Macaca fascicularis: one gene and its partners. The protein of the gene in region 1 interacts with the protein of each later gene in a pairwise test. Links are inferred from orthologs where the notes say so. Each region holds a gene or a part of one and is shown in the gene's direction. Other genes may lie near its edges.

Region 1 (3,363 bases):
CTGGGATTACAGGTAATCGCCACTACACCCAGCTAATTTTTTGTATTTTTAACTAGAGACGGAGTTTCACCATGTTGGTTGGGCTGGTCTTGAACTCCTGACCTCGTGATTCGCCCGCCTCGGCCTCCCAGAGTGCAGGGATTACAGGCTTTGAGCCACCGCGTACCCCATAGTGTTTTTAGTGAGATACATTAAGATAAGGACCACTCCTTAACTAAGCAGCGGCCACTAGTTCAGCTGGACAGGATATAGCCTAAACAGTTATTTTTCAGAGTTGTTTACCCAAGGATCTTAAACTTTGGACATATAAAGCTTTTCGTTTATCCTGGGTCTTAAGTTCCTTAGCTTGATGTTTTAAATGTGTGTGGGGCAGAGGGTATAGCCAGAAAAATTTAATTGGTTCATACCATTGTTTTTTAAAACACATAAATATGGCCGGGCGTGGTGGCTCACGTCTGTAATCCTAGCACTTTGGGAGGCCAAGGCAGGTGGATCACCTGAGGTCAGGAGTTCGCGACCAGCCTGGCCAACGTGGTGAAACCCTATCTCTACTAACAATACAAAAAATTAGCCAGGCGTCGTGGCAGGTGCCTGTAATCCCAGCTACTCAGGAGGCTGAGGCAGGAGAATGGCATGAACTGGGGAGGCGGAGCTTGCAGTGAGCCGAGATTGCGCCACTGCACTCCAGCCTGGGAGACAGAGCAGGACTCCGTCTCAAAAAAAACAAACAAAAAAAGGACTACCTCTTTATTCCCAGTACTATACTTGACTAGCCAGGCTTAAGGGGGAAAAAAAGCATTACCACATGCCCACCTTTCTCCTGATGGGAAAAATCTTCCGTCATTCTGCTTGGCAAAGTTCTGAAGCTAGACTGTTGAGGGGGAGACCAAGAACTCACCTTCTCCAGTTTTACCCCCAGTGTGAGGAATTGTAATACCCTTTGCTTCATTGGTTTCAACTAGCTAGCTAGGCAGGGAGCAATTTAATCCACTTTGGTACTCTCTTCCTCTCACAGGTTGAGTCTCCTTCTCAGATGGATGTTGAATTGGTGAGTGGGTCTCCTGTGGCACTCTCACCCCAGCCTCGATGTGTGAGGTCTGGTTGTGAGAACCCTCCCATTGTGAGTAAGGACTGGGACAATGAATACTGCAGCAATGAGTGTGTGGTGAAGCATTGCAGGTGAGCTTACAGTTCCCCCTTTTATAATTCAGATACTGGTCAATTAATTCTGTTGGGAAACATGGTAATCTTGAGCATAAAATCAACATCTCAGTGTCACCTTACTTTAGGTAGAGTAGGTTGCTGTATGTCTATCTGGCATACTAGAAAAGCGCCCCTGCTTAAGAGCTTACATTTGCCACATAGCCAAAGATGACGTAATCAGCAGTTCACATTTTTCAGTTACCACATACCTCTCTATGCTCTTTAAAAATGTGATAATACATTAGGTTGTTAGTGTTTGCAAATACTAGCTTTTCAATCCTTAGTGCAAATCAGACTTAGGGAATTAGAATTTGGGGAGAAATGGTAAGTGGAAAGTAGCATATGATAATTTGCAATTTGTGAGGGAAATGGGGAGAAATTTGGAAGATTTTACCCCTTTCCCCAAATTTCTCTGGGAATTACCTATAGCTGTAGGACAAGGCATTTCTATTTCCTATTTCAAAAACTCTACAGTAAATTAGCATTGCCTCTACTTCTGACTTTTAAGCCCACTGTTCTTATATTTCTAAGGTGATACTATCTAACCATATGCTGCAGGAAATTATCTGGGAACCTATTTGCTTAAGACTGATAAAAAAAATCCAGCTGGGCCAATGTGGTGAAACCCCATCTCTACTACAAATACAAAAATTAGCTGGGCATGGTGGCGGGCGCCTATAGTCCCAGCTACTCAGGAGGCTGAGGCAGGAGAATCTCTTGACCCTGGGAGACGGAGGTTGCAGTGAGCCAAGGAGATAATGCCACTGCACTCTAGCCTGGGCAACAGCGAGACTCTGTCTCAAAAATAAAAAAAAAGACAGATAAAAAGAATGTAGCGACTGGGCGTGGTGGCTCACACCTGTAATCCCAGCACTTTCAGAGGTCGAGGCGGGTGGATCACAAGGTCAGGAGATCGAGACCATCCTGGCTAACACGGTGAAACTCCGTCTCTACTAAAAATACAAAAAATTAGCCGGACGTGGTGGCAGGCGCCTGTAGTCCCAGCTGCTCGGGAGGCTGAGGCAGGAGAATGGCATGAACCCGGGAGGTCCATCTCAAAAAAAAAAAAAAAAAAAAAAAGTAGGCTGTAATTCTGTTTCAGTTTGTGTATAATTCTGTTTGTGTGTCTTTTTCTCTCTTAGGGATGTATTCTTGGCCTGGGTAGCCTCTAGAAATTCAAACACAGTGGTGTTTGTGAAATAGTCCTTCCTGTTCTCCAAGCCAGTGAAGAGTTATCTTCTGGGAACATGTTCAAGAGCCTGTTTTTGAAACACAAGCTGGGCTTCTGGTAGTGCCTGATCACAACCCATGATGGCCATTCATGTTTCACCCCTTTTCTTCCTTCAGCAGAGGCCAGGCTGTGGAGCAGGGCCACTGAATTTGCTGCAATCTGGAGATGCTTTTTATTTTCAACCACAAGCAGAAATACCAGTGGTAATAGCAGAGGAAAGGGTGAAGGGAGTATGGGCAAGCAAAGCATAGGTATGGTAGGGGTGGTGGTGGGGTTGAAGAAACTTGTTGGTATAATTGTCATAGGACTTGCCTAAAATATTATTAAAATTACAGGAGTGTACTCAGCTTTGAGCCTAGGAGAAAACACCACTGTATCCATTTTAAAAGGGCTAAAAGATTATATTAAAGGTTCCCTCTTAAAAAAAAATGTTATTCCCCATTATCACATCAATACACTGCTTTGAGAACAAAACTTTTCAACACAGGCACACTGGGCCACATGGAAAATGACATCACCCAGGAGTTTATTTCTCTTTATATATATATTATTTCTGCAGTTACCATCCTTATCTGAGTTATCACAATTCATGAATCTAAGAGGCAAAACTACATCATTAGTAAGAGGTTTTACCAAAGTCTAAAGTTGTATTCACTTGTGTTTGATGCAATATCTTCAAAAGATCATAGATCTATCATTATTTCTTGGACATAATCTAATGAAAAACAGAAAAGCCACCTAGTTGTAACAGCATAAGCAGAAGTTTACAGCACGATAGTCCAAGTGGTGATAACCTTAAATAAAACTCAAATTTTTACTGTCTGTAAAACAGGAAACGCTCTCCTAGAGAACCTCCTCCTCAACCAACCATGTACATAGTTTTATCCTATGCATTCCTGTTTTCTGTGGGGTTTTTTTTGTTTTGTTTT
Region 2 (3,500 bases), on another chromosome or scaffold:
AGTTCTCCGCAGAGCACCGGCCGCACCGCCTCTCCTCCGGCCATCCCCGTCCACCTCCACCCCCATCAGACGATGATCCCACACACGCTCACCCTGGGGCCCCCCTCCCAGGTCGTCATGCAATACGCCGACTCCGGCAGCCACTTTGTCCCTCGGGAGGCCACCAAGAAAGCTGAGAGCAGCCGGCTGCAGCAGGCCATCCAGGCCAAGGAGGTCCTGAACGGTGAGATGGAGAAGAGCCGGCGGTACGGGGCCCCGTCCTCGGCCGACCTGGGCTTGGGCAAGGCAGGTGGCAAGTCGGTTCCTCACCCGTACGAGTCCAGGCACGTGGTGGTTCACCCGAGCCCCTCAGACTACAGCAGTCGTGATCCTTCAGGGGTCCGGGCCTCTGTGATGGTCCTGCCCAACAGCAACACGCCCGCGGCCGACCTGGAGGTGCAACAGGCCACTCATCGCGAGGCCTCCCCCTCCACCCTCAACGACAAAAGCGGCCTGCATTTAGGGAAGCCTGGCCACCGGTCCTATGCGCTCTCACCCCACACGGTCATTCAGACCACACACAGTGCTTCAGAGCCACTCCCGGTGGGACTGCCAGCCACGGCCTTCTACGCAGGGACTCAACCCCCTGTCATCGGCTACCTGAGCGGCCAGCAGCAAGCAATCACCTACGCCGGCAGCCTGCCCCAGCACCTGGTGATACCCGGCACACAGCCCCTGCTCATCCCGGTGGGCAGCACTGACATGGAAGCGTCGGGGGCAGCCCCGGCCATAGTCACGTCATCCCCCCAGTTTGCTGCAGTGCCTCACACGTTCGTCACCACCGCCCTTCCCAAGAGCGAGAACTTCAACCCCGAGGCCCTGGTCACCCAGTCCGCCTACCCAGCCATGGTGCAGGCCCAGATCCACCTGCCCGTGGTGCAGTCCGTGGCCTCCCCGGCGGCGGCTCCCCCTACTCTGCCTCCCTACTTCATGAAAGGCTCCATCATCCAGTTGGCCAACGGGGAGCTAAAGAAGGTGGAAGACTTAAAAACAGAAGATTTCATCCAGAGCGCAGAGATAAGCAACGACCTGAAGATCGACTCTAGCACCGTGGAGAGGATCGAAGACAGCCATAGCCCGGGTGTGGCCGTGATACAGTTCGCCGTCGGGGAGCACCGAGCCCAGGTAATGTTGGCCCGGGTGGCACAGGGATGGGACACCACACCGCAACGCCATCGTCATCTCCTGGCAAGACGAATTGCTTCTATGAGGCAGGATTAAGGGTTCTCAGGTACACCTAGACCTTAGACTCGGCCTTTCCCAACTGCGTTCTCTAGAAAAAATAAGCCCCACTTCCCCATGACCTCTGCTGTGTGTAATGAATTGATCTCCATGCATGGAAAGTGGGGCTAGTTATGGAGTCCTTGATACAATTCAGAAACTCACCACTCTAGTTGTTTCTTGAATTCTGTGGTCAGGATGAGGAACCCCGATTAGGAAAGGCTGCTGGACTTCAGGTCCTTCCAGCGGTCATTCTGCACTTTTTCCTACCAGGAAAAGACAGAGGATGCCGCTGGAGTGAGTGGATTAGGTGCTGAAGCAATCACATCCCATTGCAACATCCATGTTTTAAAATGGATGCTGGGTGCAGTGGTATATGCCTTTGGTCCCGGCTACTCCAGAGGCTGAGGCAGGAGGATCACTTGAGCCCAGGAGTTCGAGGCTGTAGTGAGCTATGGCTGAACCTGTGACTATCACTGCACTCAAGCCTGGGCAACATAGCAAGACCCCGTCTCTAACATATATATAATGTCTTACTATTATTTAGGTATGATAAGGCCGACAGATAGATCAGGAGACAACTCTCTTTAATGAGATAATTTGTTATACTCTCTGATCCCGAGAGGAAGGGGCACTCTACACCAAGAAGTGTAGAGCACCATAAAGTGGGGGGCACCTGGGGAAGCACCAGGTGGGTCAGGAGGCAGAGAGAGTGAGGGAAAATATGGCAGACAACAGCCTTTATTGTGGTTTTCATGAGGCAGGATAAACAGGTTTAGGATTGGCTAGAGTGGATAATTCCAGTGTGCTCTGGGGCATAGGGGCTGTCCCTTGTTGTCTGGCGGCTGGTGCTGGGGTGATCGATACAGGTGGAAGGTCCAGGCACAGTGGGTCACACCTGTAATCCCAGCACTTTGGGAGCCTGAGGCGGGTGGATCACCAGAGGTCAGGAGTTCGAGACCAGCCTGGCCAACATGGTAAAACTCCGTCTCTACTAAAAATACAAAAATTAGCTGGGCGTGGTGGTGGGCGCCTGTAGTCCCAGCTACTCCAGAGGCTGAGGCAGGAGAATTGCTTGAACCCGGGAGGCGGAGATTGCAGTGAGCCGAGATCAGGCCACTGCACTCCAGCTTGGCCAAAGAGCAAGACTCTGTCTCAGACAAAATAAAAAAAAAATGTTAGCCCCAAGTGTGATGGACCAATATAGGAGTCTGTTGGGGAGTGGGCTCTGGACTGGTTGGTTTGCATATGAAAATCAGGCTTCTAGGAATTAGCTAATCCTGGGAGAGACTATACCTCTGGGATCCGCAAGACCCTAAAATATCAAAGCATCAGAAAGTAAAAGCATGGTTAATACAATCTGAGAAGTCAGGGCTGTCCCAGGTGACCTGCTGGGCTTGGGGTAAAGTCATCTGTAGCCAAGATGAGTCACTTGAAGTATGGTTAGCTGTCTTAGTTTCCACAGGCTCCTTCAATCCACCCTTTTCCAGGTTCTTAGATCGATTACATGCATTTATTCCACAGCCCGTTTCTTTCACTGCCCAAGTTGCTGGGAGTCCAGCAGGTTCAGCCTGCAGCTGAGAGCTTTCCTGGCTATCGAGCTCACTTTCTACAAGTGTTTCCATCTAGGATTTGAAAACACTCAAATGGGACAGAGCCTCCTTCCAGCTTGAGTTGAAAATAGTCATGCAATAGCTGCTATTTGGGACATTCAGATAAAATAAAACAAGAAAAAAAGATAAAGTAATTAATGGTTTGAATTATTTTGGGCTTTTTTTTTTTTTTTTTTTCATTTTTGAGACAGTGTTTCTCTGTCTCCTAGGCTGGAATGCAGTGGTGCAATCATAGCTCCCTGTGACCTTGACCTCCTAGACTCCAACAATCCTCCCACCCCAACCTCCCTAGTAGCTGGGACCACAGGTGCATACCACCATGGCCAGCTAATTTAAAAAGTAAAAAACATTTTAGTAGAGATGGGGTCTTGCTGTGTTGTCCAGGCTGGTCTCAAACTCCTGGGCTCCAAGCAATCCTTCCACCTCGGCCTCCCAAAGCCCTGAGATTACAGACACGAGTCCCCATGTCTGGCTTTTTTGAGCATTTTTTAAAAGCCCAAGTGAGCAAAGGACCAAATCAGTTTTCCAGAACTGCTCCTGAATGACAGGATGTGGGGGCTTGCACAAAGTCAGGGCCCCGCATTGACGAGAGCTTTTAGCCCTGAATACTTTTCTTTGTATTATGAG
Region 3 (3,500 bases), on another chromosome or scaffold:
GGCTTTCCTGAAAACATAGAGCTTTTTCTTGTCAGCAATGGCTGATATACTCCATTTTTTACAAGAGGCATAAAGTCATGCATAAGTCTTGTTTTACAGCGAATCAGTGGGAAGTGGCCTACAGCGGGTCGGCTACTGAATACACCTTCACCCACTTGAAACCAGGCACTTTGTACAAACTCCGAGCGTGCTGCATCAGTACCGGTGGACACAGCCAGGTTGGTTTTGTTTCCATATGAAAGTAAACCTCTTTGATCAAATTCAGACCAGCTGTCTGTAACATCAGAATCAAATTGCAGTTTAAACAATGTATCTTGGTAATGCAACCTGATAGTATCAAGTCAGGAAATGAAAAATAGAGCTTTTTGAATTGCTCTTTAAAGGTATAAGATAGGCCTAAATGATTCCCTACTGAATTGTGGTATTTTCAGGTACATTTGTCACTCACTTATTTCTCAGAAGTCTTTGACGTAATCACCTGTGACGGTTGAAAATTATCTGGAATTTGCATTGACTAAATAAAGGAGACCTCGGTTATTGCAATGATTAAAAAACTATAGAATTTCTAGTTAAAAGATGAGACCTGTGCAGCACTGCTGTTAATCACGTCTATCAATTTTAAGAATTTGAGACATACCTTCCTCAGGGTACTTTACTGCCATCTGCTGGAAAGTTGTTGTAAAAACAATGTAAATCCATGATGACTGAGCTGAATGGCACCTCCTCAAGTTTTGTGGTACCCAACGTACACATCTGTAGGCAAGATCCATTCTTTTGTTTCTACTATTTATATGACCTCAGACTAACCAGTTAACATGTCAGGAGTCTTAGTTTCAACCACATTGTACTCTCATAGGCTCAAAACAACCTAATAAATATACATGGAGTACTCTAGAAATGAAATAATTGTTATCTAAATGGTTTTAACTTACACTCAGAAAACTGAGTGAGAAATGAGATGCCAAAAGATACTTTCACTGTAGAGATATTTAACATTATGATTTGAAACCACTAATAATTTAGAATGAAAGAGAAGGAGAGATGGTGGCTTACAGCCCTGTGCTGGGTTGACTTTTCAAGAGAATACCTGCCGTTTGAATGCCTGATTTTTCTAGTCAACCCACTTGCAACATCAGTTTTTGTGTTTACTTTCTTTTGCCCCCAAGGATGGTACTAGGACATCTAGACTGCCCATGTAGACACTCCCTGTGAGGAGAAGGTCCCGCTGGACCATCTTTATACAGTGCCGAAGCTTTCTGGAGTGCCTCCCAGGGTGGAGTAAATCCAAATCAAAGCTGAGATTATCAGTGGTACTTCCTATGTGTGAAGCACTACACAAGGTGTCACTGAGTCTGAACTGCTCAAATGCATAGAGGTCATTTCCTCTGTGCCACTTCTCAGGGAGAAAATTGAATGTGGCTGAGCTATATAGCTCTACCTGATTTTCTCCTGTCTCAGGAATCGGGTCAGCTTCCATATCACTAGCCTTACACAACCAGATCCTGCAAAATAAAGGCCTACTTATTTTAGCGTTAACAGTGCCTGCTGGTTAATGTCAGAATCAATTGATTAATATTGAGTTTATTTGCTTTTCTGCTCTGTATGTGAATGGTTGGCCACTTATGGTACCATTTTAAAATTTCATCCAGATGTCGTTTTGTGTTCTCTTCTGTCCTCATGAAGGGTCTTTCTAATTTTGAATTAAAGGAAAAGAATTGCTTAGGATATATAGTACTCATGTCTGCTAATCTAACTTCAAAAATAATCATTTTTGTTTTTCCCAGTGCCATATGAAGTCTATAACCACCCTTAAAACACACACACATACATTTATATGAAGATCTTAATTGCATTAAAAGCTTCCCATAATGTGCACACATTTAGTGTGTAACCCCTTTTCGGTAACATTTGCAGTTATGGGGTGGAATTTGCCTGATATGTAGAGGTCTGATAAATTCACAGTAACTAAGAGATGGTTCTCTCTGGTGTTTCTCCTGCAGTGTTCTGAAAGTCTCCCTGTTCGCACACTAAGCATTGCACCAGGTCAGTGTCGACCACCGAGGGTTTTGGGTAGACCAAAGCACAAAGAAGTCCACTTAGAGTGGGGTGAGTGAACAAACCTTCCCGTTGACATTGGTAGTTTGGACAATCGGAGATGAAGACTTACGCTTTGTAGTTAAGTTTCAAAGCTTTCTTCTAAAGACCACGTATGTTTTTGTCTGTTGAAGATGTCCATATTCCTCTTGAAGTATGTTGACCCAGGTTTTTTATGTGTGTCATTCCCCCCATCCACACCCCCAACACTGTCCCTCATCCTCCTCTTCCTGATGGTGCCACACACCTGGTTTATCCCCCACACTTCAGGGGACACTTTTCTAGGGAGTATTTCAAGAACAGCCAGTCTTTTTCAGAAAGTTTTCAACTTTATTAATGGGAAAAAAATTTTGTACTCAATTTAGAAATTAAACCAAAGAATAGTTTATAAGATCACATGGAATTCTTCCTCGTCTCTGTGTGTAACCACCTCTGCTGCATTGTCCTGTGTGGGTCCTGATGTTTTTACAGCGTTGACTTAAACTGTATTAGCGTTTTTGTTGTGCCAAGCTGTTTACAACATGTATAATTATAAATACAAATGTACAGAACTCTCTAGCAGACTATTTTTTCCCACCACTTATGTCTAAAGTATAATAAATTGTGCCAACCTGGGGTCCTGTATTTTGATTTAATATGACCTTTGGTTTCAAATTAAAGAGATTTTTCTTCCTTCTTTTTCTTCCATTTACCTAGCATTAAAATATGAAGAAATATATCTAATGTTCCTATGATTTGGGGATTATTTTATCAATGTAATTAAATAAACTTCAATGGACTTGCTTTGGAGAGTATGGATAACATCATTCAGAAACTTTTATTTTTATATCTCTTTTTGGTGGGCAGGGATTCTTTTGTAAGGGAGATACTGAGGACAGGCCACCTATGTGATATTTTGCACAACTTGTGTGAAATCTGGTGCAGTTTGGTCAACTGGAAGTACAAAGTGTTCTAAGATTTGGTGGGCAGGGATTCTTTTGTAAGGGAGATACTGAGGACAGGCCACCTATGTGATATTTTGCACAACTTGTGTGAAATCTGGTGCAGTTTGGTCAACTGGAAGTACAAAGTGTTCTAAGATGAAAATAATTTTTCATTCCCAGATGTTCCTGCATCTGAAAGTGGCTGTGAGGTCTCAGAGTACAGCGTGGAGATGACGGAGCCCGAAGACGTAGCCTCGGAGGTGTACCACGGCCCAGAGCTGGAGTGCACTGTCGGTAACCTGCTTCCTGGAACCGTGTATCGCTTCCGGGTGCGGGCTCTGAATGATGGAGGGGTGAGTATAAGCCCATACACTGTAACCAGAATCAGAATGCATAGTCAGAACCCAAAGTGCTAGCACTTCTGTCTCCAGCCTCCTGAAATTTTTGGCAGTCTTAATGCAACCTTGACAACCATTAATGCAG
Region 4 (4,102 bases), on another chromosome or scaffold:
TAGCATAGACTGGAGGGGTTGGGAGTTGGGGGCAGGCTGGGCAAACTGGAGTGAGCACGGCCTAATTATATTTTAATACTTTAAAGTTATTTTTATTAAACTGTCTGCTGTCCAAGAGAGAGTTTATATATGTCGTTTGCCACATATAATACATGTTGTAGGCCAAAATGGCCATGAAGCCACCAGTTTGCAAACCTGAACTGTGAAATCTTTTAGCCACTTCCCTATCTTCTCTGTTGGAGCCATCATTAATACTTGAAAAGTACCTTTGAGTCAGGGAGTTCTACTCTGTGTTTGTGAGAAACGCGGCCCTGCCCCTCCGCCACAGTTTCCTCATATGTAAAATGGGGCCACTCATGTCCACTCCCCAACCCCTGTGCCTTGTGGTGAGACTTGCTCCGGGGATGATGGTCCCGCCCCTCCTTTCAGGAACAGGCCTTTGAGAGCAGCCAGAAGTACAAAGAGGGGAAGTACATCATTGAACTCAACCACATGATCAAAGACAACGGCTGGGACTGACCCCCGCTCCCCGACGCATGTGGCTCCAGCCCGGCCTGGCCGCCAGGGAGCGCCACCGGCTTCCCTCCGCCCAAAGGGAGCTCTGGACCCTCAGGGCCCCTGCAGAGGACGGATCCAGCTCCTGTACATATATTTTATTGCATGCACTGTGACCTTGGGGGGAGAACAGAAGGGGGACGACGCCCCCGCACCTCCTGCGATCTGGCTGGCTTGGATCTCGTTTTTAACCCCCTCCTTCCCCGCTTACCCTATAGATATGGCCTGTGTTCTGCTCTCCTGGCCCCAGTGCACCGTCTGCTCTGTGAACTCCTCCCACCAAGCCCCTCTGACCCCACGCGTGTCTGTCCCCCTCGTTCTGTAGCGTTTGTACATAATAAAACAATGGAGTGGAGACAGCTCAGGCTCGCGTGTAATCCGGGGAGGGGAAGCTCAAGCGGAGATTTCTGCCCCTATAGACCTGTGCGGTTCTGAGACCCGGCGGGGCATGGGGTAGGCAAGTCGTTCAAGCTGGGTCTCCAGGAACCGGGGCGGTTTCACTGCCGGCGGAGGCCCGGAGCCCACTCTGGCTGCCTACGCTGTGACCTCGCCTGATCTGCGTGTGCTCGGCTGCAGCATTTGGCCGCCGCCTAGGGACAGCGCCCCAGGGAGGCAACCGCGTCGCCGGCCTCGCAGCCCCCTCGCGGCCGGACTACAACTTCCAGCGGCCCCCGCGTGGTCCATCCGGCTCTTTCGGGCGCGCCTCAACGCTGGGCCTGCCGGGAAGTGTAGTTCCGAGGGTTCCCCAGCGTGGGACCTTCTGGGAAACCCTGCCGCGAGGCGTCAGAAGCTGTCGGACTGTGCGCGCCTCCGAACCTTGGAGGCTTGGCTCAGCGTGGAGGTTTTTTTTAAAGCATGGGGACCAGGGAGGACTACGGTGCTCGGGACTGGGCTGCGGCCTCCTCGCGACCCCGAGTGCCCTGTGAAATCAGCTCAGGCCGCATCCCTCCAGCCTGCACTTTCCCTCTGGTCATGCTGCTTCCCTCCAGGGCCCGGCCTCCAAGTGAAGGGGGGCGGAGGGCGGTCACCTGCCAGAAGGTCGGGGGCGCCAAGGTGTGTCCCGGGACTCCAGGCTCCGTCCAGGCTCCATGCCCCGCCCCCCAGCTTATCCCTAGCTGGGGCTCCCCCCCGTGGGAACGGGGACCAGCTGGCCGGAAGCGCCAAACTGCGTCCCTGTCCGAGCCCCGGGGATCAATCAAGCCGAGGAGTTAATTATGTAATGAGGGGGCAGGGGGTCGAGGCTAATGAAGCCGCCCGGGGTGGGGAGGGAGGGAAGGAGGGGACCGTACCCAGGTATCCGGCCCCTGCTCGGACCCCTTCGAGGCCCCAGGGGTCTCCACCCCAGCCCAAATCCAGGGCCCCAAAGAGGGGAGGGGCTGTGATCCTGGGTCTGGAAGGGGCTGAGCTGTGAGCTATAAAGGGGGCATCTCGCAGCACCGGGGGCTCTAGGCAGCGAGACCTGAGACCAGACGGAACTACAACATGTACCATCCACGAGAATTGTACCCGTCCCTGGGGGCCGGCTACCGCCTGGGGCCCGCCCAACCTGGGGCCGACTCCAGCTTCCCACCCGGCCTAGCAGAGGGCTACCGCTACCCCGGTGAGCGTTGGGACCAGCTCCTGGGTAGGAGAATAGGGAGGCTGGGGCCCTTGGCTGGCTCCTCATTTTTCCCCGGCTTCCAGACCTGGACACCCCCAAACTGGATTGCTTCCTCTCCGGGATGGAGGCTGCTCCCCGCACCCTGGCCGCACACCCACCTCTGCCCCTTCTGCCCCCTGCCATGGGCACTGAACCGGCCCCATCAGCTCCAGAGGCCCTCCATTCCCTCCCTGGGGTCAGCCTGAGCCTGGAGAACCGGGAGCTATGGAAGGAGTTCAGCTCTGTGGGAACAGAAATGATCATCACCAAAGCTGGGAGGTGAGGGGCTGGTCAGGGTCCGTGTTTCTGGTGGGGGTCTCCTGGGAAAAGCAGAGTCCCTGAGGAGGGGCTAGGTCTGGGAGGTTCCCTAGGGGCTAGAGTTCTGCCTAGGCTTAGAATCTGACTATGGCCTGGGACAGGGGTTACTCTGTGGCTGGAATCAGGAGTCATTCTGTGACAAGGGCTAAGGGCTAGTCTGTGGAGTCTGTGGCTGAGTTTAGGGACCAATCTATGGCAAGGGTCATGGGTCAGTCTGGGGCAGGGTCAGGAAGTCCTGCTGGGTTATAGGTTAGTGTGTGGCCTAGACCAGTGTCCAGACAAGGACAGGGGGTCAAGGGCCAGCCCAGTGACCAGCATCAGGGAAATCTGACCAGGACTGGGGATCAGTATGCAGCTTGAATAGGACTCAGTATATCTAGGTCCAGGGTCACCCTAGAGGCAGGGACATGGTCAGTGTGTGGCCTGTGACGAGGTCTTTAGGGCAGGAGCTCAAGCCCTAGCGTGGAAAGTCCTCAGCCCTACTGCAGGCAGGGTATATTTTTTCTAAAGCAAATTCATCTAAAAGCTGCAGATTCTGGTGCTGGACATCAGGGGAGGAGAGGAGGGTGGGGACAGGAAGCTCCTAGCAAGAAAGTTAGTCACCCCTGCTTCTGCAAATACGCTTTGAGGGGTAGGAGTCATGGCTCTGTTCCTAACCTGCTGTGTGACAGATCGCTTAACCTGTCTGTCCTGTTTCCCCAAATGTAAAATGAGACAAGAAAACCTTCCAGATCTAAGATTCTGCCCTCTGGGTTCTTTTTTTTATTTTTTGAGATGGAGTCTCGCTCTGTTGCCCAGGCTGGAGTGCAGTGGCGCTATCTCGTCAGCTCACCACAACCTCTGCTTCCTGGATTCAAGCGATTCTCCTGCCTCAGCCTCCCGAGTAGCTGGGACTACAGGCACAAACCACCACACCTGGCTAATTTTTTTATTTTTAGTAGAGACAGTGTTTCACCATATTAGCCAGGCTGGGTCTCAAATTTCTGACCTCATGATCTCGCCTCAGCTTCCTAAAGTGCTGGGATTACAGGCGTGAACCACTGCACCTGGCCCTTTTTCCTTTTTCAGAGACAGGGTCTTGCCCTGTTGCCCAGGCTGGAGTGCAGTGGTGCAATTGTGGCTCACTGTAGTCTTGACCTCCCAGGCTCAAGTGACCCTCCTGCCTCAGCCTCTATAGTAACTGGGACTATCAGTGTGCGCCACCATGCCTGGCTAACTTTTTAATTTTTTGTAGAGATGGGGTCTTTCTGTGTTGCCCAAGCTGGTCTTGAATTCCTGGACTCAAGAGATCCTCCCACCTTGGCCTCCCGAAGTATTGGGATTAGAGGTGTGAGCCACAGCCTCCGGCCTGCCCTCTGGGTTCTAATTCCACCTCCCTTGATGTTTCTCTGACAGCTCTGGGGAGCCTGCTGCTATGTCCCGTTACTGGTGCTGGGCCCACCCCTGGCCAGTGGGTAGCACCAGGCCTCTCCTGTCCCCTCCCTTGCACAGGCGCATGTTCCCTGCCTGCCGAGTGTCAGTCACTGGCCTGGACCCCGAGGCCCGTTACTTGTTTCTTCTGGACGTGGTTCCGGTGGACGGGGCTCGCTA
Region 5 (3,500 bases), on another chromosome or scaffold:
GATGCGCCCGTCTTGGCCTCCCAAAGTGCTGGGATTACAGGCTTGAGCCACCGCGCCCGGCCTTTTTTTTTTTTTTTTTTTGAGACGGAGTTTGGCTCTGTCGCCCAGGCTGGAGTGCAGTGGCGCGATCTTGGCTCGCTGCAGCTTCTGCCTGCCTGGTTCAAGCAGTTCTGCCTCAGCCTTCCTAGTAGCTGGGACTACAGGTGCCCGCCACCACGCCTGGCTAACGTTTGTATTTTTAGTAGAGACAGGATTTCGGCATGTTGGCCAGGCTGTCTTGAACTCTTGACCTCAGATGATCCGCCTGCCTCAGCCTCCCACAGTGCTGGGATTACAGGTGTGAGCCACCACGCCTGGCCCCGCCTCAGCCTTTTGAGTAGCTGAGATAACGGGTGTGCACCACCATGCCCGGTCCCTGCTCTAATATTAGAGTTTTGACCCTTCTCTCATACTGCTTGTGAGTGACGCCAATCCTCTTATGATTGTTGGATGGGATTTTTTTTTCTTTCGGGGATTATGTTAGCCGGAACTTTGGGTTGCAAGAAACAGAAACAGCTCAATTTGGCTGAAACAAAATAGGGTACGTTTTGGTATCCTGACTGAAATGTGGAGAGCCAGGGATGCTGCTGCCTCCAGCTCTGCGCCCCCACTCCCGGCTCCTCTCCGAGAGGCGGCATGCGCACTACCCAGCACCTGTGGAGTGAAGCAGGCACCCTGTTCTGGTGGTGTCTGGGGAAGCCCTGGGATGAACTGTAGTTAGCATGCTTTGCATCACTTCTCTACATGAAGTCAGAGTTGTGTCATCCACGGGAAGGGGAAGGAGTGCGTGGCAGGCAAAGCAGCATCCGTAGCATCTCCTCCTGCGTTGTCCCACATTGATACATGCTCAGTGTTGATGCTGGGATGGGCCCTCCCCGACTCCACAAGTTCCCCCACTGCCCACCACTCCACCAGGCGATGTCATCTGTCCCTGCCGTGGTACAGGTCATTTCAGCTGGTTGTCAATAAGACTCAGGGTCCGGCCAGCCTGTGACTGAATGTTACCTTGAATCCTCTCAGCACCCTTCCTAGTCAGGAGGGGAGATAACTGCCGTTAAGAATAGCTGCTTGGAAAGGGGGTGTTGAGCTGATGCTCCTGGTCAGCCCATTCTCCGTGGGCACGGCAGGATGAGTTGCGCTGAGGCTGCGGCCTTATACAACCCCCTGCTGCAGGAGGTGGCCTGCGGTGGCTCAGGACTGATCAGGCTCGGCCATCTTTGGTTTGCCAACATGGGGTTTTAGAACCCAGCAGGTATTGGGCCTCTTGTGCTGGGTCAGCACCCCAGGCCACAAGCAGAAGTCAGCTAGCCAGTGTGGGCCTGACGTCCTGAATGGCTGGGTGCTGTGCGTCCTTCTGGATCCCAGTTTGTGGCCTCCCTGTGGTCTGGCTCTTTGTGATGGGGTCACCCTGTCTTTGTCAGGCCTGGGCTGTTGCTCTCCTTTCCTGGCACTGTGTCAGCTCAGCCCCCACAAAAGGGGCCTGTTGGCAAAGGGGTGTTTTCCTTTTCTGTCTTCAGAAGCCAGCAGTGTCTGAAACTTGCCTCTGTCTGGTGGGACCTCACTAACATCTTCCCGTGTCCTGATCCTTCCACCTTTTAACCAAGTCTCCTCAGGGTCTGGCCTCAGAGAACAGGGTTGTTGGGGTGGTTTATGCAGCTCCTTTACTCTGTGATGCAGCAGGGCTGGGGCTGCCCACACTTGCCTCTGAGCAGCCAGTGCTCGCTCCAGGGCCTGTTCTGTACAACACGTGTACAGATGAACGTAGGGCAGCTCCCGGCATGGAAGGGGAGGTGGACCGACGGGGCAGTAATGGGCACCTCTGCAGGTCAAGGGCAAGGAGAGGGGCTGCCTTGCTTTGTGCAGGGGCCTGACCTGGGCACTGCCTCCTGCCTACTGTGTGCCTATCAGTCCCAGGTGCTGGGGACAGGGTGACAGATGAGGCGGTGCTTATGGGTGAGTGGGAAGACGAGACACAATATTTACTGTCAGGTGGTGAAAAGCACATGCAGCAGGGATGCGCCAGAGGAGACTGGAATTCGGGCCGGGTGTCCTGGGCAGGATGGCACTCTCTGGACTCATCACATCACCCGCCGTGTGCTGGCCCCATTTGGCCAGAGTGCACTGAAGTGTCTGCTTCTTTCTTTAAGGGAGCAAAGCTTGTATTGGCTTGCAATTCAGCAGCTGCCTACAGACCCTATAGAAGAACAGTTTCCTGTCCTAAATGTGACCCGGTACTATAATGCCAACGGGGATGTAGTGGAAGAGGAGGAGAATTCTTGCACCTACTACGAGTGCCACTACCCTCCCTGCACGGTGATTGAGAAGCAGGTGGGTGTGCTGCAGTGCGGCCTGGTCCTTGGCACCTCTACCCTGTAGCCCAGCCTTGGTTTGGGGTCTTGCCCTCCTACCGCAGGGCCCCATTCCCCGGAGACCACTTGGGCTTTTCCACCAGGGTGGTCTCCCTTTGCCCTTGTGCTGGCCTGACCAGGGCCCAGGCCCTCCAGCCTTGGTACATGGTGTTTTGCTGGGTCCGTCAGATTGTCCGTGCGATGCAGTCTTTGCCCCACACTGCATCCCAGGCATGACGGTGAAGCCACAAGTGTTCTGTATTTCAGCTCCGGGAGTTCAACATCTGTGGGCGCTGCCAGGTGGCCCGGTACTGTGGCTCCCAGTGCCAGCAGAAGGACTGGCCAGCCCACAAGAAGCACTGTCGGGAGAGGAAGCGTCCCTTCCAGCATGAGCTTGAGCCAGAGCGATGACGGGCGGGAGAGCCGCACACACTCGCAGCCCCCGGGCTCTACCCTGGGCACAGCAGAGACAGACTGGTGGTTGAACCTGGAGGTGCCGAAAAAGCCAGCTGCGGGCCCAGGACAACCGCTGTGAGACTCCCGATGTCACAGGCAGTCTGTGTGGTTATAGCGCCCCTCAGTGTTCATCTCCAGCAGAGACAACGAAGGAGGCTCCCACCAGGACGGTTCTCATTATTTATATGTTAATATGTTTGTAAACTCATGTACAGTTTTTTTTGGGGGGAGGCAATGGGAAGGGTAGAAATTACAAATAGAATCATTTGCTGTAATCCTCGAATGGCAAACGGTCAGGCCACGTGTCTAAAAACTGTCCTGTAGCTGAAGCTTCTCCCCTGGGCCACGGGAGCCCCATGGAGCGCGGCCTGCACAGGAGTTGTGTCCACAAAGGCAAAGTAAAGGGGTGGAATCATCCGGCGTCTCGGACATTCTCTGCTCTGCCTCCCTCTTGTGCTGCTGAGGGTGAGGTCATCTTGAGTGGAGCCGAATCCCTGTGAGGGCAGGAGGACGTGCCCTTGCTCCTGGTGGGCAGGAGCAGGTGAACTCAAAACTTCCTGAGTCCAGCAGTGAGCGTGAGTGAGACTCTGTCCTTGTCTTGTGGCAGGACTGGTGCAGGTGCTAAGTCAGCTGCCCACTGGTTCATTGGGAGTGGGA
Region 6 (4,100 bases), on another chromosome or scaffold:
TGAAAATAGCTCCCTTGCCCTGTGCTTGGGAGATCAAAGGCATTCTTGCTCATTGCAAATAATTCAGAAAACAGGAGTATAAAGAGGAAAATGAAAGACAAGGTAATTCTAGATAAGCAGAGGGAGATAACCAGAAATGACATTTCTGGGAATTGCCCTATAGTTTGGGATTTTTTTCCTATGATTACCCACAAATGCACATTTATTCTACATAAACGATAACGTGCGCACATTCACGCCATCACTTTTTAATTTTTTTAGAGACAGAGTCTCGCTCCGTCGCCAGACTGGAGTGCAGGGGCGCGATCTCGGCTCATGGCAACCTCCGACTCCCGGGCTCAAGCGATTCTCCTGCCTCAGCCTCCCGAGTAGTTGGGATTACAAGGTGCGCGCCACCAGGCCAGGCATAATTTTTGTACTTTCAGTAGAGAGGGGGGTTTCGCCATGTTGGCCACGCTGGTCTCGAACCTCCACCTCAGGTGATCCGCCCACCTCGGCCTCCCAGAGGGCTGGGATTACTGGCGTGAGCCACTGTGCCCGGCCGCCATCACTTATTTATACTATGTGTTAGCTGTAGGACATATCTAAGACCATGGTCACTGCTGTGCGTGCTAACTCCCGCGCGCGTGCACTCAGGCCCCTCCGGACAGACGCTGGGGACCCCTGACCACTTATGTCTGGGAAAACGCCACCAAGCGCTCCGGAACCTCAGGGCAGGATCCGCCGCAGCAGCAGGCAGGACCCGCTGGGGGCGCACAGCCCACCTGAGACATTGTAACTACAAGTCCCAGCAACCCTTGGTGCGGGGACAAGACGGACGACCGGAGTCCGGAGAGACTACAAGTCCCGGCAGGCATGGCCCAGACGAAGGGACTACGAGTCCCCGAATGCATGGCTCCCCGCTTGCGCAGGGCACCCTGGGAGGTGTAGTCGTTGAGGGAGCTAATGCCTATTCATTCCGTCTCAAAGAAGATGCAAATTCCTCACACCGTCCACTGAGGTGATTTTTCTCAGGCAGGCCACGTGCGTGGGCGAAAAACGGGGGGAAAAAACCCTGGGAAGCCGGTACCATCGCGGAAGAAGGCCGCCTGCGCATGCTCACCAGGAGGCCGAGCGGGAAAAGCGCGCGCAGCTGGCCTCCCTGCCCGCAAGGGGCCTCGCCCCAGCCCCGCCCCCGGCCCCGCGCGCCCGGTGAGCCTGCGCAGAGGGCGGGGGCAGAGCGTCGCGGGGAGGGGCTCGCGGCGCCTGCGCAGAGCGGCGGCTTCTCTCGCGAGGACGGACGCCATTATCGCATCTCCCCGACAAACACCACGAGAATTCCGCAGCCCACACGGTAATTGCAGCTCCCGCAGCCGGTCGCGCCTCCGCCTCCCCCTTCCCGCGGGGCGAGAGCGAGAGCGAGATCTCCCTCCTCCCTCCTCCTCCCGCCCGCCGGGCCGCCCGCGCCGCAGCCCCGCCGCCTCCAACCGCCCGGGCCGGGCGAGCGCCCCCCAGGCCCCGCTCCCCGTCCCCGGCCGCGCCCCGGAAGAGGGGCTCCCGCTTCCTCGCTTCCGCACCCCCGGCCCCGCCGCGCCCCGGCGTCCGTTGAGCCGCGGCTGCCGCAGCCCGGCCCGGGGGCCTCGCGCTCCCGACCTCTGCCCCGGGCCTAGCCCCGCGGGAAGGACCCGGGGCCACGGCGGGGAGACTGGAAGGGCCTAGAACCGCGCCCGGGCTCCTCTGGGGACCGAGTCTCCCAAGGGGTCGCTCCTGCTAGCCAGCCGGGAGCGACAGGCACCGTTTTTGTGCCTCCTCCGTGGCTGTGGACTGGAGCCCCATAGCCCGGGACTCGCACATGCAAGTCTCTGGCGAGGCAGCGGAAGGGACGATCCCGGGGCGACCGCCGACCCCGGCGAGGACCCCAGCCCGTCCCCCTAGGTGCCCCGATGAACGAGGACTTCGGGGTGCCCCCTCCCCAGCACGTTTGTGCGATTTCTGTGATCTAGTCCTTAAGAAAGGTGGCCGTTTTTTTTTTTTCCCCCTAGGATGCAGGAAGTAGATGACATTCCATCCACACTGTGTGAGCAAATTGGAGAGAGTACCTTGATAGAGGACTGATGTTTTTCACTGATGAGATGGTAGGGGTTGCCTTGCTATTGGAGAAATACATCATCCCTGAAGAACTGTGAGCAAGTGGAGCGAGTGTGGGCTTTGAAGGGTAGCGAGCTTGCACCCTGACCGGGGAGGGCGCGGGTCACGCAGTTGTTGATGTGGAACAGATAATTGCCCTGTTTGGAGTTGCCTGTTCTGCCCAGGAACGTACTCCAGGGCCTGATGGCGATGGCAGAACTATAGTAAATAATAAGAGGAGGCAGTCGTAGGGGCCACTTTTAGCTGGAAGTTCTTGGGGGACAGAAAAATAACTTGGAGTAGTGAGTGGTTCTGAGTAAGCTCAGGAAACAGCAAAGAAAAACTGGATCTGGTCATTTAACACGCAGCTCGCAAATATCCTGTGCTAGAAGAAAACACCAAAACGCGGTAAAATTCTGTGTGTAGGTCCACTTCCCGTGTCTGGCAATTAAAATAAGAATATATTCTTGCGATGTTGGATTCTGTCATCATTGGCTTTAGTATTTTTATTTTTTGGAGATAGGGTTTCACTCTGTCCCCGGGGCTGGAATGCAGTGTGGTGATCTTGGCTCACTGCAGCCTCGGCCTCCCTGGCTCAAGTGATCCTCCCACCGCAGCCTCCCGAGTAGCTGGGACCACAGGCACCACCACCCCTGGCTAATTTTTGTATTTTTGTATTTTAGAGGGGGTTTCGCTTGTTGCCCAGGCTGGGGCTTTAATCTTTTTAAAAAAGAGCATCCATTTGTGATCCACGCTGCTTGGGGGCAGCTCAACATCTCGGGTGCTTCACCATGACCCGGGAGGCAGAGGCTGCCCCCACTTTATAGATGAGGTGGCCAGGCCCGCAGACACTTAAGGGACTTGCTCAGATGTACAGAGCCAGGGTTCAAATTCAGTCTATTTGAAGCCTATATATTTAGTATTTTAATTAATATAATGTGTACAATAGGAACATCAGTGAAAGACTTACAATGAAAAGCAGTGGTCCCCTGCCCCACCTCTCAGCCCCATTCTTCAAAGAGGTTTACATCTTGAGTGGTTTCTTTAGGTCATTCTTTATAGCTCTAAGTAAGCTGATCTTTTTCATTTTTTTCTTGAGATAGGATCCCCAGATGTTGGCCAGGCCGTACTTGAACTCCTGAGCTCAAGTGATCCTCAGCTTCCTTAGTAGCCGTTAATACAAGTGTGAGTGACTGCACCTAGTTCTAAGCTGCTACTTGGTTTTACACAGTCTTGACTTTCTGTTACCATGGGGTGATGGAGCCCTTCTGTCATATCCCACCTCTTCTATCCCCTGGACTGTGTGTGTCAGGCCTATGTAAATACTGTTCTCTTCACAAATTGAGTGTTTCCCTTCCTGTACAGCATGTTTTTTTTCTGTTAGTCATGGCTTTTCTCTTGGCACTTTCTGTTCCCATCGACTCCTTGCATTGTTTTAAATGATCTCAAGGATAGTGTCAGGTCCCCTTCCTCCTTCAGCCCCTAACCTTTTTCTCATCTGGATGGGTTATTCTTTAGCCTGCAGACGAGCCAACCTGATACTTCTTGCGGCTGGGTGCGTTCAGAAATGTTTTCATCTCGGCTTTGTTCATTTCCACAGGACGCTCTGGCAGGTGCTCTTCCTCTGTGGAGACCCTTCTCCCTCCCTGAACGCTCTTGGATCCTCTCTTTGGTGTTAATGACATTTTACCGTGTGCTGAGGTGTGTGGATTCCTACTCCGGGGACTCTTTGACTCTGGTGCCTTGTCCTTCAGCTCTGGGGAGTTGCCTTGTTCTGTCTGAGAAGTTCTTCCTCTCCAGCTCTGCTCTTCTGTCTTAGGAGTTCCTGTTTGTGATGGACGTTCTAGATGGACCCCTGGAGTTGCATCTTTATCCTTCCTTCTGTGTCTTGTTTATTCTCATTTCTGGGAGAGGGCTTTCATATGTCTTCACAATCAAATTTTTAATTTCCAAGCATGTATTTGTCTTGTTCCTTTTTCACAGTAGCTTATTGT

What was found.
Region 2: the proteins of TOX4 (region 1) and ATXN1 interact in binary tests that used the Homo sapiens proteins (3 or more experiments, as listed by UniProt). The link is inferred for Macaca fascicularis from reciprocal best matches to the Homo sapiens genes TOX4 and ATXN1.
Region 3: the proteins of TOX4 (region 1) and FNDC3B interact in binary tests that used the Homo sapiens proteins (3 or more experiments, as listed by UniProt). The two-hybrid records come from large-scale screens. The link is inferred for Macaca fascicularis from reciprocal best matches to the Homo sapiens genes TOX4 and FNDC3B.
Region 4: the proteins of TOX4 (region 1) and TBX6 interact in binary tests that used the Homo sapiens proteins (3 or more experiments, as listed by UniProt). The link is inferred for Macaca fascicularis from reciprocal best matches to the Homo sapiens genes TOX4 and TBX6.
Region 5: the proteins of TOX4 (region 1) and ZMYND19 interact in binary tests that used the Homo sapiens proteins (3 or more experiments, as listed by UniProt). The two-hybrid records come from large-scale screens. The link is inferred for Macaca fascicularis from reciprocal best matches to the Homo sapiens genes TOX4 and ZMYND19.
Region 6: the proteins of TOX4 (region 1) and BANP interact in binary tests that used the Homo sapiens proteins (3 or more experiments, as listed by UniProt). The two-hybrid records come from large-scale screens. The link is inferred for Macaca fascicularis from reciprocal best matches to the Homo sapiens genes TOX4 and BANP.

The regions. Positions count from the first base shown.
Region 1 is NC_088381.1:89,170,369-89,173,731, forward strand, and holds the end of TOX4 (TOX high mobility group box family member 4), read left to right. Parts: intron 1-1,015; coding exon 1,016-1,179; intron 1,180-2,345; coding exon 2,346-2,406; 3' UTR 2,407-2,863; downstream 2,864-3,363. UniProt on the Homo sapiens protein: Transcription factor that modulates cell fate reprogramming from the somatic state to the pluripotent and neuronal fate. In liver, controls the expression of hormone-regulated gluconeogenic genes such as G6PC1 and PCK1.
Region 2 is NC_088378.1:156,585,963-156,589,462, forward strand, and holds part of ATXN1 (ataxin 1), read left to right. Parts: coding exon 1-1,164; intron 1,165-3,500. UniProt on the Homo sapiens protein: Chromatin-binding factor that repress Notch signaling in the absence of Notch intracellular domain by acting as a CBF1 corepressor. Binds to the HEY promoter and might assist, along with NCOR2, RBPJ-mediated repression. Binds RNA in vitro.
Region 3 is NC_088376.1:83,827,175-83,830,674, forward strand, and holds part of FNDC3B (fibronectin type III domain-containing protein 3B), read left to right. Parts: intron 1-99; coding exon 100-218; intron 219-2,000; coding exon 2,001-2,106; intron 2,107-3,197; coding exon 3,198-3,370; intron 3,371-3,500. UniProt on the Homo sapiens protein: May be a positive regulator of adipogenesis.
Region 4 is NC_088394.1:28,005,501-28,009,602, forward strand, and holds the start of TBX6 (T-box transcription factor TBX6), read left to right. Parts: upstream 1-1,302; 5' UTR 1,303-1,608; exon of another isoform or gene 1,609-1,989; 5' UTR 1,990-2,037; coding exon 2,038-2,155; intron 2,156-2,238; coding exon 2,239-2,473; intron 2,474-3,907; coding exon 3,908-4,102. UniProt on the Homo sapiens protein: T-box transcription factor that plays an essential role in the determination of the fate of axial stem cells: neural vs mesodermal. Acts in part by down-regulating, a specific enhancer (N1) of SOX2, to inhibit neural development.
Region 5 is NC_088389.1:1,732,441-1,735,940, forward strand, and holds the end of ZMYND19 (zinc finger MYND domain-containing protein 19), read left to right. Parts: intron 1-2,186; coding exon 2,187-2,367; intron 2,368-2,654; coding exon 2,655-2,798; 3' UTR 2,799-3,258; downstream 3,259-3,500. UniProt on the Homo sapiens protein: May be involved as a regulatory molecule in GPR24/MCH-R1 signaling.
Region 6 is NC_088394.1:83,853,631-83,857,730, forward strand, and holds the start of BANP (protein BANP), read left to right. Parts: upstream 1-1,300; 5' UTR 1,301-1,333; intron 1,334-1,692; exon of another isoform or gene 1,693-1,994; intron 1,995-2,021; 5' UTR 2,022-2,093; coding exon 2,094-2,114; intron 2,115-4,100. UniProt on the Homo sapiens protein: Controls V(D)J recombination during T-cell development by repressing T-cell receptor (TCR) beta enhancer function. Binds to scaffold/matrix attachment region beta (S/MARbeta), an ATC-rich DNA sequence located upstream of the TCR beta enhancer.